2 linked regions of the Drosophila melanogaster genome follow. The protein of the gene in region 2 interacts with the protein of the main gene of each other region in a pairwise test. Each region holds a gene or a part of one and is shown on either strand. Other genes may lie near its edges.

Region 1 (3,950 bases), on a different chromosome or scaffold from region 2:
CTTTGGGGTTGCCGCTGCAGCTGCCGGAAGATTATCTGGCCCACGGTCAGCTCCTCGTTGTAGAGACTGTGCCGGCTGCAGCCACTCCAGACCTTCTGAACGGGATCATAGCTGGTCGCGGGATTGCCATTGAGGTCCAACATCGTGATGCACGCGCGTTTTATGACTGCTGCATACTCGCCTGCCGGGTCTATTTAAAGGTCAACGAAATTGGAAAAATTAGCCGGCAATTTAGCAGTTAAAGTGTCCGGATATTTAATTTTACCTATTGATTGCCAAGCTGTTCTCTTGACACGATATCAGCGATGAAAACCGTTTGGCGAATCAGATGATTATCAAACCTAGGTCTCGACAGCAGTTATTTGCTATTAAGTAAAAGGTCTTTTAAGATCAAAAAATTCTAAGTGCTAAGATTCGTTTCTGTTTAAAACTCTGGCGTATACATGCGCTGCAAAACAAATAGTTTTTTAGTTTTAGCTTACTAATTTTGAAAGAAATTAAAAATGCTTATTCATTTTAATCAAATACCTTTTTTATTTTTAGAGTATGTTAAAATATATTGGCGGGAATTTGGTGATGCGCCACCTACTTGCATGTTTTCAGAACTATGTATAAATGTTAACATAACATGTTAAACATTACATGTTATCTATCTACTTCTAAATGTATCTACATGCCATGTTATATGCGTTTATATGTATCTACATGACATGTTATACATTCGACATTTTTATGACATCTCATTGGCTTTCGTAACATAGATCTTCAAAACAATTTTCTTTTTAAATCAAATATGCCAAAAGGGGAAAATGTGTATAAATTAAATTTTTAATGTGCTGTACATCCCTTCGGTTTACTATAAAAAGTTTGCCATCATTTTTATGCCTTTAGGGTTTACCAAAGGTAAACTTTCAACAAAGCTGATACCGTAACCCCAAATTCATAAAGAAAGTGGTAAAAAATGTCATATCACAATTTAAAAAAAAAAGCTTTAACAAGAGCAACCCAGTAATAATACGCTCATCCCGAAGATGCAATTCAACGCAGCTCGCAGTCACCGCGTAATTCAAGATAAAAATGATTCTCAGTCAGATAAAAGCAGATCGGAACGAAGTTCGCTAACGCAGAATGATTTGCCATAAACTTCATGGGACCAAGGACATAAAGTTAGGCTGATATATCATAGCATGGGATTTGATGATAAGCATCTGGCAAAGAAGTTACCAGCAAAAGAACATGTCTCATGGCTTATACGAGGCAAGGCAATCACGTAGATGGATACTAGAGACGTGTGTGTAAATATCGTAAAATGATTTGCCACGACTTTATAACCAAATAACTTACATGATATGTTAATAAATAAGTTGATAAAATAATGACGTATAAGATACGGGGATACGAGAAAACATATTGTACTACTGGCTATGAAGATAACACACTAAACAGTTCCCACGAGATCGCGGCAAAATCTTTTTGACCTGTCCGAACCAAAGACGGTATCTTGAATTTTATAACATTTATATGGTATTTGTATTTCTATTTCCTCTGCCACACGAACTTTTTATCTAAGTGTGATAAGCTATTGGATGGCTGCGACTATTAAAAGGGATTGTAGTTGCGAATCTGATACAGTTGAAATCTGTCTTTACCAGACACACAAAGTTTGCCTACTTACAGAATGCCGTACACACCAGAAAATTCCTACGATAATGATCAAAAGATCTGGAGCGGTGAGCCGGTTGTCAAATACTTCGATCCGGACTTGTCCATCGGAGAGATAATTTTCCACGAGATGCGGCGGCATCCGCAGCTTACTGCCCAGGTGAGTACATTAAAAGTCACCCACTAAACAAATGATTCATCATGATTTCTTCTAGATCTCTGCTACGGAGGGTACTGTGTTGACCAGAGGGGAGCTCCTTGCCAACGCCATGCGCTTGGCCAGCTATATGCGATCATTGGGACTCCTTCAATCCGATATAGTGGGCCTCATAGGCCGGAATACCACCCACATGCTTGCCGTAGCCTACGCCTGTTTCTTCAACGGAATAGCTTTTCACTCACTCAACATTACATACGATCGCGATACGATCGAAAAGATCTACAAGGTCACAAGGCCTTCTATTATTTTCTGCGATGGAGATGAGTTTGAGAAGGTTCGATCTGCCACTGCAGAACTGGATGTTAAGATTGTCACCATGCGCAATCATCCGTTGGATTCCATAAAGATCGATGAAGTTGTGGCCACGCCCATCGAAGAAAACTTCCAGCCAGCTAAGCTGGAAAAGGGCAACGATCAGACTTTGGCCATTCTCTGCTCTTCGGGAACAACTGGTACTCCAAAGGCAGTAACTATAACTAACAGTCGGCACATCCTCGCAGGCAACTAGTAAGTTGTTTATACATATTATTTGGAATGATTTTAAAGTTTGCTTCCTTTTGTACCACTAGTCATCTGACCACCGCTGATGTTCAGTACTCTCACAACACCCTTGACTGGATCACTGGTTTGCTTACCACCATTACCTCCGGAGTGTTCAGCACTACCCGCATCATTGCGGACAATGCCTTCGATCCCGCCTTTGCCTTGCGAATCATCGAAGAGTACAAGGTTACGTGGACCATACAGCCACCATCATCTATGGCTCTAATGATTAACTGCCCAGATTTCGAGACGTGCGATCTGTCGAGCCTACGGTGCTACATGTTTGGAGGATCTCGGGCTGCCTTGGAGGTTCAGAAAGGCATCCGTAGCCGTCTTAGCCATAATTGCCTGCAGTTTGTTTATGGATTTACAGAACTGGGTGCCATGGCCACCATCAACTGTCACTTCGACGAGAAAACCGGATCGGTGGGTCAATTGGTCAATGGGCTAAAGATGAAGATAAAAAATGATGACGGCGAATCGCTTGGACCCGATGAGATCGGAGAGGTGTGCATCATGAATAACCAGCACTGGTCGGGATACTACGGAAACGAAGTTGAGACTCGTAACATGCGAGATTCACTGGGATGGTATCACTCCGGGGACCTCGGATACATGGATCGAGATGGCTTCTTGTACATTATGGACCGAAAGAAGGAGATGCTGAAGTACCAGAACATCATGTACTATCCAAACGATATTGAAAGCGTCATCTCAGAGATGCCCCAGGTCGCCGAGGTCTGTGTCTTCGGGATATGGAGCAACATCTTTGGAGACGAAGCTGCTGCTGCTGTTGTTAAGAAACTGGGCAGTGAGCTGGAGGCCCAGGATGTGGTGGACTATGTGAGGTCTCGGACTGATTCCAAGTACAAGCAGTTGAACGGAGGAGCCGTCATTGTGGATGACCTACAGCGTAGTGCCAATGGAAAGACCAATCGAATGGCCAACAAGGCCCACTTTTTGCATTTAAAAAATAGGAAAAATATATTACTTAGTCAAATTAATACATAACACTATTAAAAGTTAAAGACACTGCCATTTTTGTGTATTCTTTCATTTCGTTTTGCATCATTTATTTATAAAATTTCACAAACGTCATTACTTCGTTTTTATCCTGGTTTGCATTCTAGGATTTCCTTCCTTTCGGGTGGCAACAATAATTTCTACTATATTGTAAAATTGTGCTACTATGTAACAATTTCGAGCATCCCCTAAACAAATCAAGTCAAAGTGTTGCGGTGTGTGTCAGTTTGTGTATAGTTTAGTATAATTATTCATAACATTATCTACTATGCAGTCACTCTTGATCAATTTAACTTACATTTAACTAGAATTTCGTCATTCATCAAACATTATTCTTTATTTGTTTAGTGGAAGTGCCATGGAGCCTTGCCGGATACCGTTCTTAACTTATCTGCACTGTTCCGAGACATAACCATAAATGTAGCATGCGGCACATAGCCGGTAGCATACAGCGATATCGCAACGTATCCCTCGGTATAATTAGTTAATTTCGTATTAGATT
Region 2 (9,392 bases):
ATTCGAATTCATCTCATCTCATCTTATGGGCTGCTCAGATACTCGTGCATTTCACATCCAACTGCTTGAGGGCGCCACCATCCGAAAGATTCCCATCTATCTCAATTTACTTTCACGTGCTTCAAGTGCAACTCTCGACAAATTAAACGGCGCAAAGTGGCACCCACCAGAAAGACACATCGCATCTCCCGAACCCAAAAACCCCAATCCAATACAATTAAATACAATCCGCCATACGCCATTCCGAACCCATTCCCAATGTCAGTTCGAAGCCGTTAAGTACTTTTTACCCGCCAAGTGCCGTTTCTCGTTTTGTAAACGAAATTATAATTGTTTTTCCGCTTGTTTTTTGTTTTTTTATGTTAATATAATATCATTTAAATGGTTCCGTCTGCCTTTGTTTTTTTGTTTCTTTGCCTGTTACATAAAGTCACAAGAGATACAATATAATAATTAGTATCTGTGCACGCCGAGGTGTAGATGGCAGCCAGTTGGTAGCTGACTCTTAAATGTTATACCTACATATGTTTGTTTGTGGGGGGGGGGGGGGGTAGATTTGGGGGAACTGTGTTACTCGGTTGAGGCCACGGAGAAAGCAGAAAGATGAATGGCTGAATGCGACGCTGATTATATGGCTCAGAATCGCTGTGGCATGGCGAATTCATTAAGATCTGGCAATGTGCCATGCATAATTCGCATAATGGCCCGGCTAGCAGAATGTATCCGCCCTATGGGAGGTTTTCCCAGAATGCATAATGTAACTGCGAATTTGCAGTTGGAAAATGACGTAAGTAATATCAGCCAGTGCCCAGCCTGTAGCTCATACAGCGTTCAACAATAATAATAATATCACCAAGTATGATTTCAACAGTACATATCCATGTACTTCAAAGTGGGCAATGTATCTGCAGGATATATATCTTACATTAAAGTGCAATCTCAAATATATATTATTTTTATAAAAATCACAGAGACTTTTTTACACGTGTATCATGTTTATTCCACCAGTAGTCATTAAATATTTATTGAACAAACACTGGAACAAGTCACTTATGTGAAATCTAAAATTTATATTTAATATTTGAGATCCCAATTTTTCGTTAGTCTCACAGCGTCATAAGAAACATTTTTATGTTCCTATTTAATTATTCGGATTGGCCATACTTTCGTGTTCACCATTAAGATAGCTTTGTAATTATTTATTTTCTTTAATTTCAGTTCATTATGAAGTTAATCTTTTACGATCCTTGGTTACGTTACAAAATACCAATAAAGTTGATGCATTAGTTTTAAGCACAATTAATGGTATAAATGCAATGTTCGCATTTCTCAAGCTGTATTTCAGCTATATACTTTTACATTTCTCTAAAAAATATCTATATTATCTTCTGGCAAAAATAATGGGTCAAGGGTGCCTCGAGGCATAAATTGCGGAAATATTTGCACCGGAAAAACTCCAAAAATTGCCCTAGGACGCGGCGTAACCACTGATGAACCTGCACCTGTTCCATCTTTGTGAATTCAGCATATTTTACCGCGACCAACGAATGATGATGATGACGATGGGTTTGAATGTGAAAGATGAGCGTGGAAAATTAAGGAAATGCAATCCGTGGACAGGGGAGCAAGTGCAGCCGCTGCTGCAGATGAACAACAAAATCAACACAACCTGCCATTTGGCTAACGGCATTATAAATGATGCCATAGAGGAAAAGTGACAGTCTCTGTCTCTGTGACTCTCCTCCAGTTGAGTCTCTCCAACTGTTGCAAGTTGCAGTTGCAATACTGCTGCTGGGTATCTTACTCGGTGCCTGGGTCTACGGTTTACGGTGTCGTCCTCCGTTTGGCGCCACTGGTCGTCACTGATTATGCCATTTCATAAAGCAAAATTCCGGCAGCGATTGTGCAGGAGTGGCCCCAAAATGCGGCCAAGGATCGCTTGCAACCGATGCAAAAATGCTGATTGCCATTTATAGATTATGTGCATAAATCAGGAAAAAAGCTAGCTATTACTTTGGGGGCTATGAGCCATGGAAAAGTTGCAAAACATTTTGCCAATCATAATTTTATCCATCACTCTTCTCTAACGCTAATTGTCATGGCCGGGGCGTAAATTATTAAATAAGAAAAGCAACCCAAAAACAACACTAAAACTTGCCAGAGATAAAAAAAAAAACAAATTGAAGAAATTCAAAATATTGCAAAAACAAAAAAACCAGAGGAGAAAAATTAAATAAAATGCCTGTACAGATGGGTCGACCCAACAAGAGCGTGAAGCTCATTATGAAGCTTCGTGTCCAAAACGCGGACAGCAATTACAAAAGCAACATAGCCAGTAAAACAATAACAATAACAGTAACAATAATAATAACAACAAGCCAGGCCAAGTCAACTCAAGCCAACACACAACACAACCCAAAACACCGAAAGAAGCTGGCTAACAAAAGGCCGAAAGAGCATGAAGAAATGAAATAAAACCAACACCAGATTCAGTCCCACTCCAGAGCACAAAACAAAGCTTAGCCCCATCCCATCTGATCCCAAACCATACCATACCATACTATACCAACCCATTCCCCAAAACGGCTGGCTAAATGAGAGTGAATCCACATTCATTGAAATTGAAAGTGAATCGTGCCACACGATCCGATCCAGAGTCCAGACTTGGTTACGAGTCCACTGCGATTGGATCCTCTAAATGACCAAAATAACAATTTACACACATTAGCTACATATATATAATAAAGCACATATATATATATATTTATATATAAATAACAGAAATCAGAGATTTTAGGAAAAACCATGTTTCTTTGGCAATCAGTTCGAAGGAGTTGTACTCTACAGCGAATCTATACAAATGTTTTAAATGGGCGAGGGAAAAAAATGCACAAGACATATTTATAAATTAAATATTACAAAATATGACTTGCCTTTAATAATTAAACTATCTAAGCTAAGAGAGGCATTTTCTTTTAATGATAAAAGAACAAAAGGCGTGATAAATTAATAATAAGAGAACAGATATTCTCAGATATTCTTAAATTAAGCAGGAAATCGTTAAAGCTGAGGTTACCGCAAAAAAGGCTTTTATTTTCTTGCCTTGAAAATAATGGACCCTTGAAATAAGCTACATTCCAGCAGCTAAGTGTCTTCAGAAATAAAAACCATAAAAAACTATTTGATGGCCTTGCTGCCTCAAGCTTTATTTTACATACATACACTGCACCTTTCAGGTTCCTTATTTTCCCCATGAAAATAATCCTAGTTGGGCAGAAAAACAGAAAAAAAAAAACAACCAACCACATGCTCGAAAAACCACGAAAAAGAAGTAGTTAATCGAAGGAGGAAAGCCAAAGCCAAGAAACGGTCAGCAGACGTTGCAGTTTCGGTTGGCTTTGCGGTCGCCGTTTGCATCGCAGCCAGGAGCTGCAGCCTCAGTTTCCCCACCAGATCATGACTGGCCAAACTTTGGACTTGGCTTAAACATTTCAATTTCTTCATGGCTACATGCTGCTGCCGCTCTTTGCCAACTGCTCAGCCAACTTGGCCGACTGCTCGGTCGACTGCGGCAGCAGCTGAGGCAGCTGAGGCGGCTAAAGCAGCAGCGGTCTTGATCGTCGTCTTGAATTTTACTTAATTTTTATTTCACGCGCTGCGCTGCTATAAAAGAAACTGCAACAATCGTTGTGGCATGCAGTAAGAGGTTCCGCGTCGAAGCAGCACCACATTGCCAGTAACCAGTAACCAGTAACAGCCAGTAGCACCTAGCCACCTGGAGCAGTGACAAAACCCGAAACGGATATACCCGAAATAAGCCACCCGAAAATGCATTCCAGTTGTGTGGTATGATCTTGTGACCAAACCGACCAAGTGGCCGTGATGGACATCGCTTAATGGTGTGTTCTCCTCCGATCTCGTTCGCAGTTAGTGGTCCTCATGGCCCTGGCTGCCCTGGTGGCCGCTCGTCCAGAGCCGCCTCGTGACTCGTACAGTGCGCCCCCCTCCAGCAGCTACCAGCCAAGTGGACCCAGCGGAGGCTACGGCGCCCCTGCGCCCCAGTACGGACCTCCCCAGCAGGCGCCGGTGATTCACAAGCACGTCTACGTCCATGTACCTCCACCAGAGCCGGAATACCAGGCACCCAGGTGAGTGGCAGGATCAAGGATCCTCTAAGCCAACATAAGTTCCAAAGATCGCGAGTAGAATAGGGTTCCCAATAAACCTATTCTTCAACCAAGTTCCGGAAAAGGATCTATGCATACTCGTTTAAAATTTTTGTCTATACTAGATGATAATTATATCAGACCTAAAAATGGAAAAAATCTTTAAAAATGTTATTTTAGACACATTCAGTTTAATCACAAAAGATACGTATTTAAGAGTTTAAGTAATAGTAAAATTATTTATTTTGCATAGTTTCACAAAATAGAAATCGCACTACACTCCCAACACAGTGAGTGAGTGAACAATCGAGAATTTCTTCTGATAAGCCGTACAATATAAACGTACATCCTGCGGTTTTTTTCATTTCACAACGTAATCAGTTCAAATTATTCACACCCCTTATCCAGCACACTTTTTTTTCGACTTGCGTGATTGTGAGCGGTTACAAACGATCTCGCTTTATTTGTCTTGTTCCACTTAAGATTGGAAAAATATGGGGAAAAAACACATTGTTGTGTTATGAGTATATAATCCAAGGCACTTATGCAGATTCTCTCACAATTCATCGGCGTAAACCAGGCAGTGCCGTCAACTCCCAAAGATAATAACTAGACAAATGTTGCAAGAGACCAGCCGGCAATCATCTAATCCAGCTCAGGGCCCTTTTCCACAGCTGTTGCCACATTTCCAGGGTATTTAGAGGGTCGCTTAAACGGAGGAGGAACATTATTTAATACCCGCGAAAACGAAAGCCATCCAACTTTCCTCTCTTTTCGCTGATACAATGTTTTCTGTCGTCTTCTGTCTGTTTTCAATTGGAGTTGGAAGCGATGTTAATTACCACGAGAGGGGAATGATATGGCTTTGCAGACCGCCAAACCGTGACTAAAACGTTACCTAAGCTCGCCGCAGCACTTGTACTCGTATATATCTCAGTACCATTTCCAAGCAAATTATCAGGCGCAGAGGGACAGGAACTCGATTACCATAGGTAGCTTTATGTAAACCCTCGTCTCGAGGCGGTTGTTGTGACAATCGCTGTCATCGTCACAATAGTCATCATCTTCATCTGATTAGTAAAACTGACAAGCAGCTGCAGTGGGTTCAACGTTGTCGGGAGGTCACCATTTTCGGGAGGTCACCATTTATGGGCATGCCATTTGCATGCACCTCAAAGAGAAACTCCTTTCTCCCGCATCGCGGTATTTGTTCGTTCAACAAGGCAAGGTTATAGGAAGTGTGGAAAGTCATTCCAGCCTGGCCGTGTGTAATTGAAATTTTTTTATTCAGTATGTAAATTTTTACAAGCCGGAAGCAAAAAAAGTTGCGTTATATGAGGATGTGGTGTCTTACTTTACCCATAGAATTCCTAAGAAATTCCTTAAATACAGATATAGCAGAACCTTTATTTAAATACATTTTTAAATATTTTCCCAGGAAACCCCTTTACGTGCCACCTCCGCAGAAGCACTACAAGATCGTCTTCATCAAGGCGCCATCTCCACCAGTACCGACCGCCCCTGTAATACCGCAGTTCCCACAGAACGAAGAGAAGACCCTGGTGTACGTGCTAGTCAAGAAGCCGGAGGAGCAGCCGGAGATCATTATCCCAACGCCAGCTCCCACCCAACCCAGCAAGCCGGAGGTGTACTTCATCCGCTACAAGACCCAGAAGGAGGAGACCGGACCCTATCCCAACAGTGTGGCGCCTCCAGCGCCCGAGTACGGAGCTCCAGCTGCCCCGCCCGCACCCTCTGCTCCCAGCAGCTCGTATGGGGCACCATCCCACTAGGCGATCCAGTCCAACCCGAATACCGATTTGCTTATCTCAACCCAACTCATGGCAAACTGCATATCTTATGTGTATTGTATTATTTTCTGTTTCAAGGACCTTAACGCGTGACAAAGTTTACCAAGCAACGAATCTCCCCCATCCCCTCTCCACACCCAGCTCATAGGATTATTACTCCTATAGATGAGTAATTCTTATCTCTGATGTTGTTTCTACCTGATGTACGAGAAGTATGTTTTCCATCTAGGCTGTTTGTTTCAAATTGTTTGTTTAGTCTTAAGTCTAGGTCTTTAAGCGAACGATGCGTTATACACTCACACAAAACACTCGAAACACTCACTGCGAGCTAGCCTTAGTTATCGATAGAGATATCGATCCTGATACCGATTAACGATATATACGTGGTACATGATTTTCATCACAAACGCATTTTCAAGTAGGCAATTTATTCCAATTTCATATTGCACATTTCGCACACGATTTGTCATTAAATAGAATGTGCGAAGCACTCGAAATGCAACAAAAAAAAATGAAGATTAAAATGATACTCAAGTATATAATGTTAAAAACACAAAACATCAATGGCTAAATAAAAGTTTAACGAATTATCTGTACAAGATGGATTTCTTTTTGTATGTTTCACATTGCAAGTCTTAACATATGTGTACATATATTTATATATATCTGTTTACTATACATTTTCATTTGCCTCGCAAATGTATTTGAAATCAGAAGTACAAGAAGCAACCCACATGCCACCGTTATGTATAGAAACGCAACGCTGATCTACATGTTCGTATAGTGGCTCTCCAGGATTCCATTTCAAAAAAGGTGCTCTCTTTCCGGAGGACACAGATATGAAAACGCCCTTTTCAGCCAGATCACTAATGCCAATCATATAAGTGTTGTCTTTGCTTAGTTGCGAAACGATAGCATTAAAGTCTGCTTCATTTATAATTGAGGCTAGATTACCTCCCATCTTTTGACATGCGCTCAAAGCACTGGTCCAATTTTGTTGGACTATGTCTTCGATGTGCAAATATCTCGATCCGATTCGCTTGAACCTATGTAAAATATTTATTTTCGCAGACATATTCTTCAGCGACGTCGTTATACTAGTCAATGCTTCCTGTAGGTCAGATAGTTGACCCTCCATCTTAAGTTCTGACCTATTGGTTCTGTTCTCGATATCCTCTGCAATGATCTTCTTCCACGATTCCGTTAGCGATGTCTTCTGGCTTTCAATTTCTTTTTCAATATCCCTCTGTTGGGCCTGTATTTCTTGCAACTTGCAGGTTTTCCACTGTTCCTGGTGCTGGGCAATGTGACCGATCAATGGCATCAGCGCTTCGAGGCTTCGACACGATCTGTCTCCTCGCATCCTGAAGGTGATGCATTTATAACTATTGCGATAATTGCGTAATATAGGAGAACTTTCAGCTGGAACATGCTTAGCAAATTGAACCTCTTTAGACGAACGTTTATAATGCACTAAATGTGAATTCCTATGCTGCAGTCTGAACAGCAGCGCAATATTGTTGATAAGAATTTATAGATATAATATATATTTTACTGGAAAAATAAATATCATGCTAAGTATTTTCAGCTTACGCTAAAAATAAAAAATAATATAAGCTATAGTGATAATTATGACAACAGCGCAATATGAACAGCAGCGCAATATTGTTGATAAGAATTTATAGATATAATATATATTTTACTGGAAAAATAAATATCATGCTAAGTATTTTCAGCTTACGCTAAAAATAAAAAATAATATAAGCTATAGTGATAATTATGACAATACTTGGATTGAAATTATATATAAAAGCATATCATGAAAATATATTAAACAGTAGTACAGATAAGCAGGAACTTTTATGTTAAATATAGTTTAACGATTTCTTATTTTCATTGCATGTTAATGAACTCAAGATTCAAACTACAACGCCGTTGGCGTTGCCACGTTATGTTCGCCCGCCAGATGGCGCCGCAGCTAGCCTCCAAACTGTACGCAAGTGCTTCTCAAACTTTTTATCTCCATTCACCGAACTTGAGCTTTGTTTCGTTTATTTGCTTGCGTTTTATTTTCTTTGGCGCTTGGATTGCATACAATTTGATTTGCTCGATGCGGAAAAACGATTTTCACGGAATTTCCCTTAAGTATTAAGATAATTAGTAGCGAAACACCTTAAAACGGATTGGATTACAGCCCTTTTCCCGCAGCCACCTTAATAACAATCAGCCGGGTCCACTTTAATTGACCCGTTACCGTTGTCCACTTGGTGAAAAAAAATGGAAAAAAAGTAGAGGTAAATCCGTGCAAGCCCCATCCATTCCGGTGCACACATGCTTTTAAACCCGAACACACACTCAACAGCTCCTTCACGAGCCTGCCAAATGTAAGCGAACTTAAAAACACATCGTTTGCATTTGGCCCCTCTGCCCACCACTCACCCATCCCCATCCACGAAAAGCCCCATCATCACCTCACGCCCACTCTGCCCCCTGAAAAAGCCCCCTCCATCAGCAGAAACTCCAAGCGGCACTTAAGTGACGCTCCAGCAGCTCAACTATCACCATGTCCATATTCCTTTTATTCCAGGTACTCACGCAGAAAAAAGGTATATTGTATTTGTACTGTTGCATCCCAGAGGCGGTAAAAGCTATGGATTTCAATCTTTGAATGCTAACGCCTGCACTTTTAACTCAATTTTTGGGGATAACCAACTTTTAAGTATTTATAAAAAAGATTTTGTTATCTATTTCTTAAGCTATATATTCTTTTAATAGTTTAGTAATAGTGTTTAAAAATATTTAACAATGAGACCATACTTTATAAATTTTTTTTTTTTTTAAGTAAAACATATTTTTTGTATAATACATTACATTATTGTTTTAAGGTAAAGAAATAATGGTTACTAGCGTTTAAAGATCGAGTGACCATGGACATCTTCTAGTAAAGACGAGGTATCACTCTATTTTAATGTTCCTGGCCAGTGAGCATTTTGACGTCTACAATATAAACATCATTTACGCTGTTCCTTTTGTTTTAGCCTCGCTGATTTTGTTTACCTGAGCCTCAAAGCCACTGTCGTTGGCCGAAAGCAAGAGATTTTCCGAAAGAGAGTGAAAGAGTGAAAGTCCGACTACCCTTGGGGTCAGCAATGTGGCGTTACCATACGCGATTCGCTCTTTCTTCTGGCACGCCTGCGCCAAAGAGAGGCGGAAAACTCTTGGGAAATTCAGGCCCAGACCGAAGACCAAAACCGAAACCAAAAACCCGACTTCAGTTGCCATTGTAATGCCAACGCAATCGGCACGCGTTTGGCTTTCGCGCCTGGCGGGTTTTTTATTTATTATTCGCTAAAGTGACAAGCCAATACAAAAGAAAAACAACAAAGCTCGCTGAGAATCGGGGAAAATCCCAGTG

Evidence for each region. The genes of interacting proteins can lie anywhere in the genome.
Region 1: the proteins of TwdlE (region 2) and Acsx1R interact in a two-hybrid assay, tested with the Drosophila melanogaster proteins (one large-scale study listed by BioGRID).

The regions. Positions count from the first base shown.
Region 1 is NT_033777.3:19,774,959-19,778,908, reverse strand, and holds Acsx1R (Acyl-CoA synthetase X1 R), read left to right. Parts: upstream 1-1,628; 5' UTR 1,629-1,678; coding exon 1,679-1,822; intron 1,823-1,877; coding exon 1,878-2,389; intron 2,390-2,451; coding exon 2,452-3,436; 3' UTR 3,437-3,450; downstream 3,451-3,950. Other genes in the region: Acsx2 (Acyl-CoA synthetase X2), read right to left, coding at 1-143.
Region 2 is NT_033779.5:7,855,137-7,864,528, reverse strand, and holds TwdlE (TweedleE), read left to right. Parts: upstream 1-3,689; 5' UTR 3,690-3,828; coding exon 3,829-3,846; intron 3,847-3,927; coding exon 3,928-4,148; intron 4,149-4,408; exon of another isoform or gene 4,409-5,604; coding exon 5,605-5,959; 3' UTR 5,960-6,572; downstream 6,573-9,392.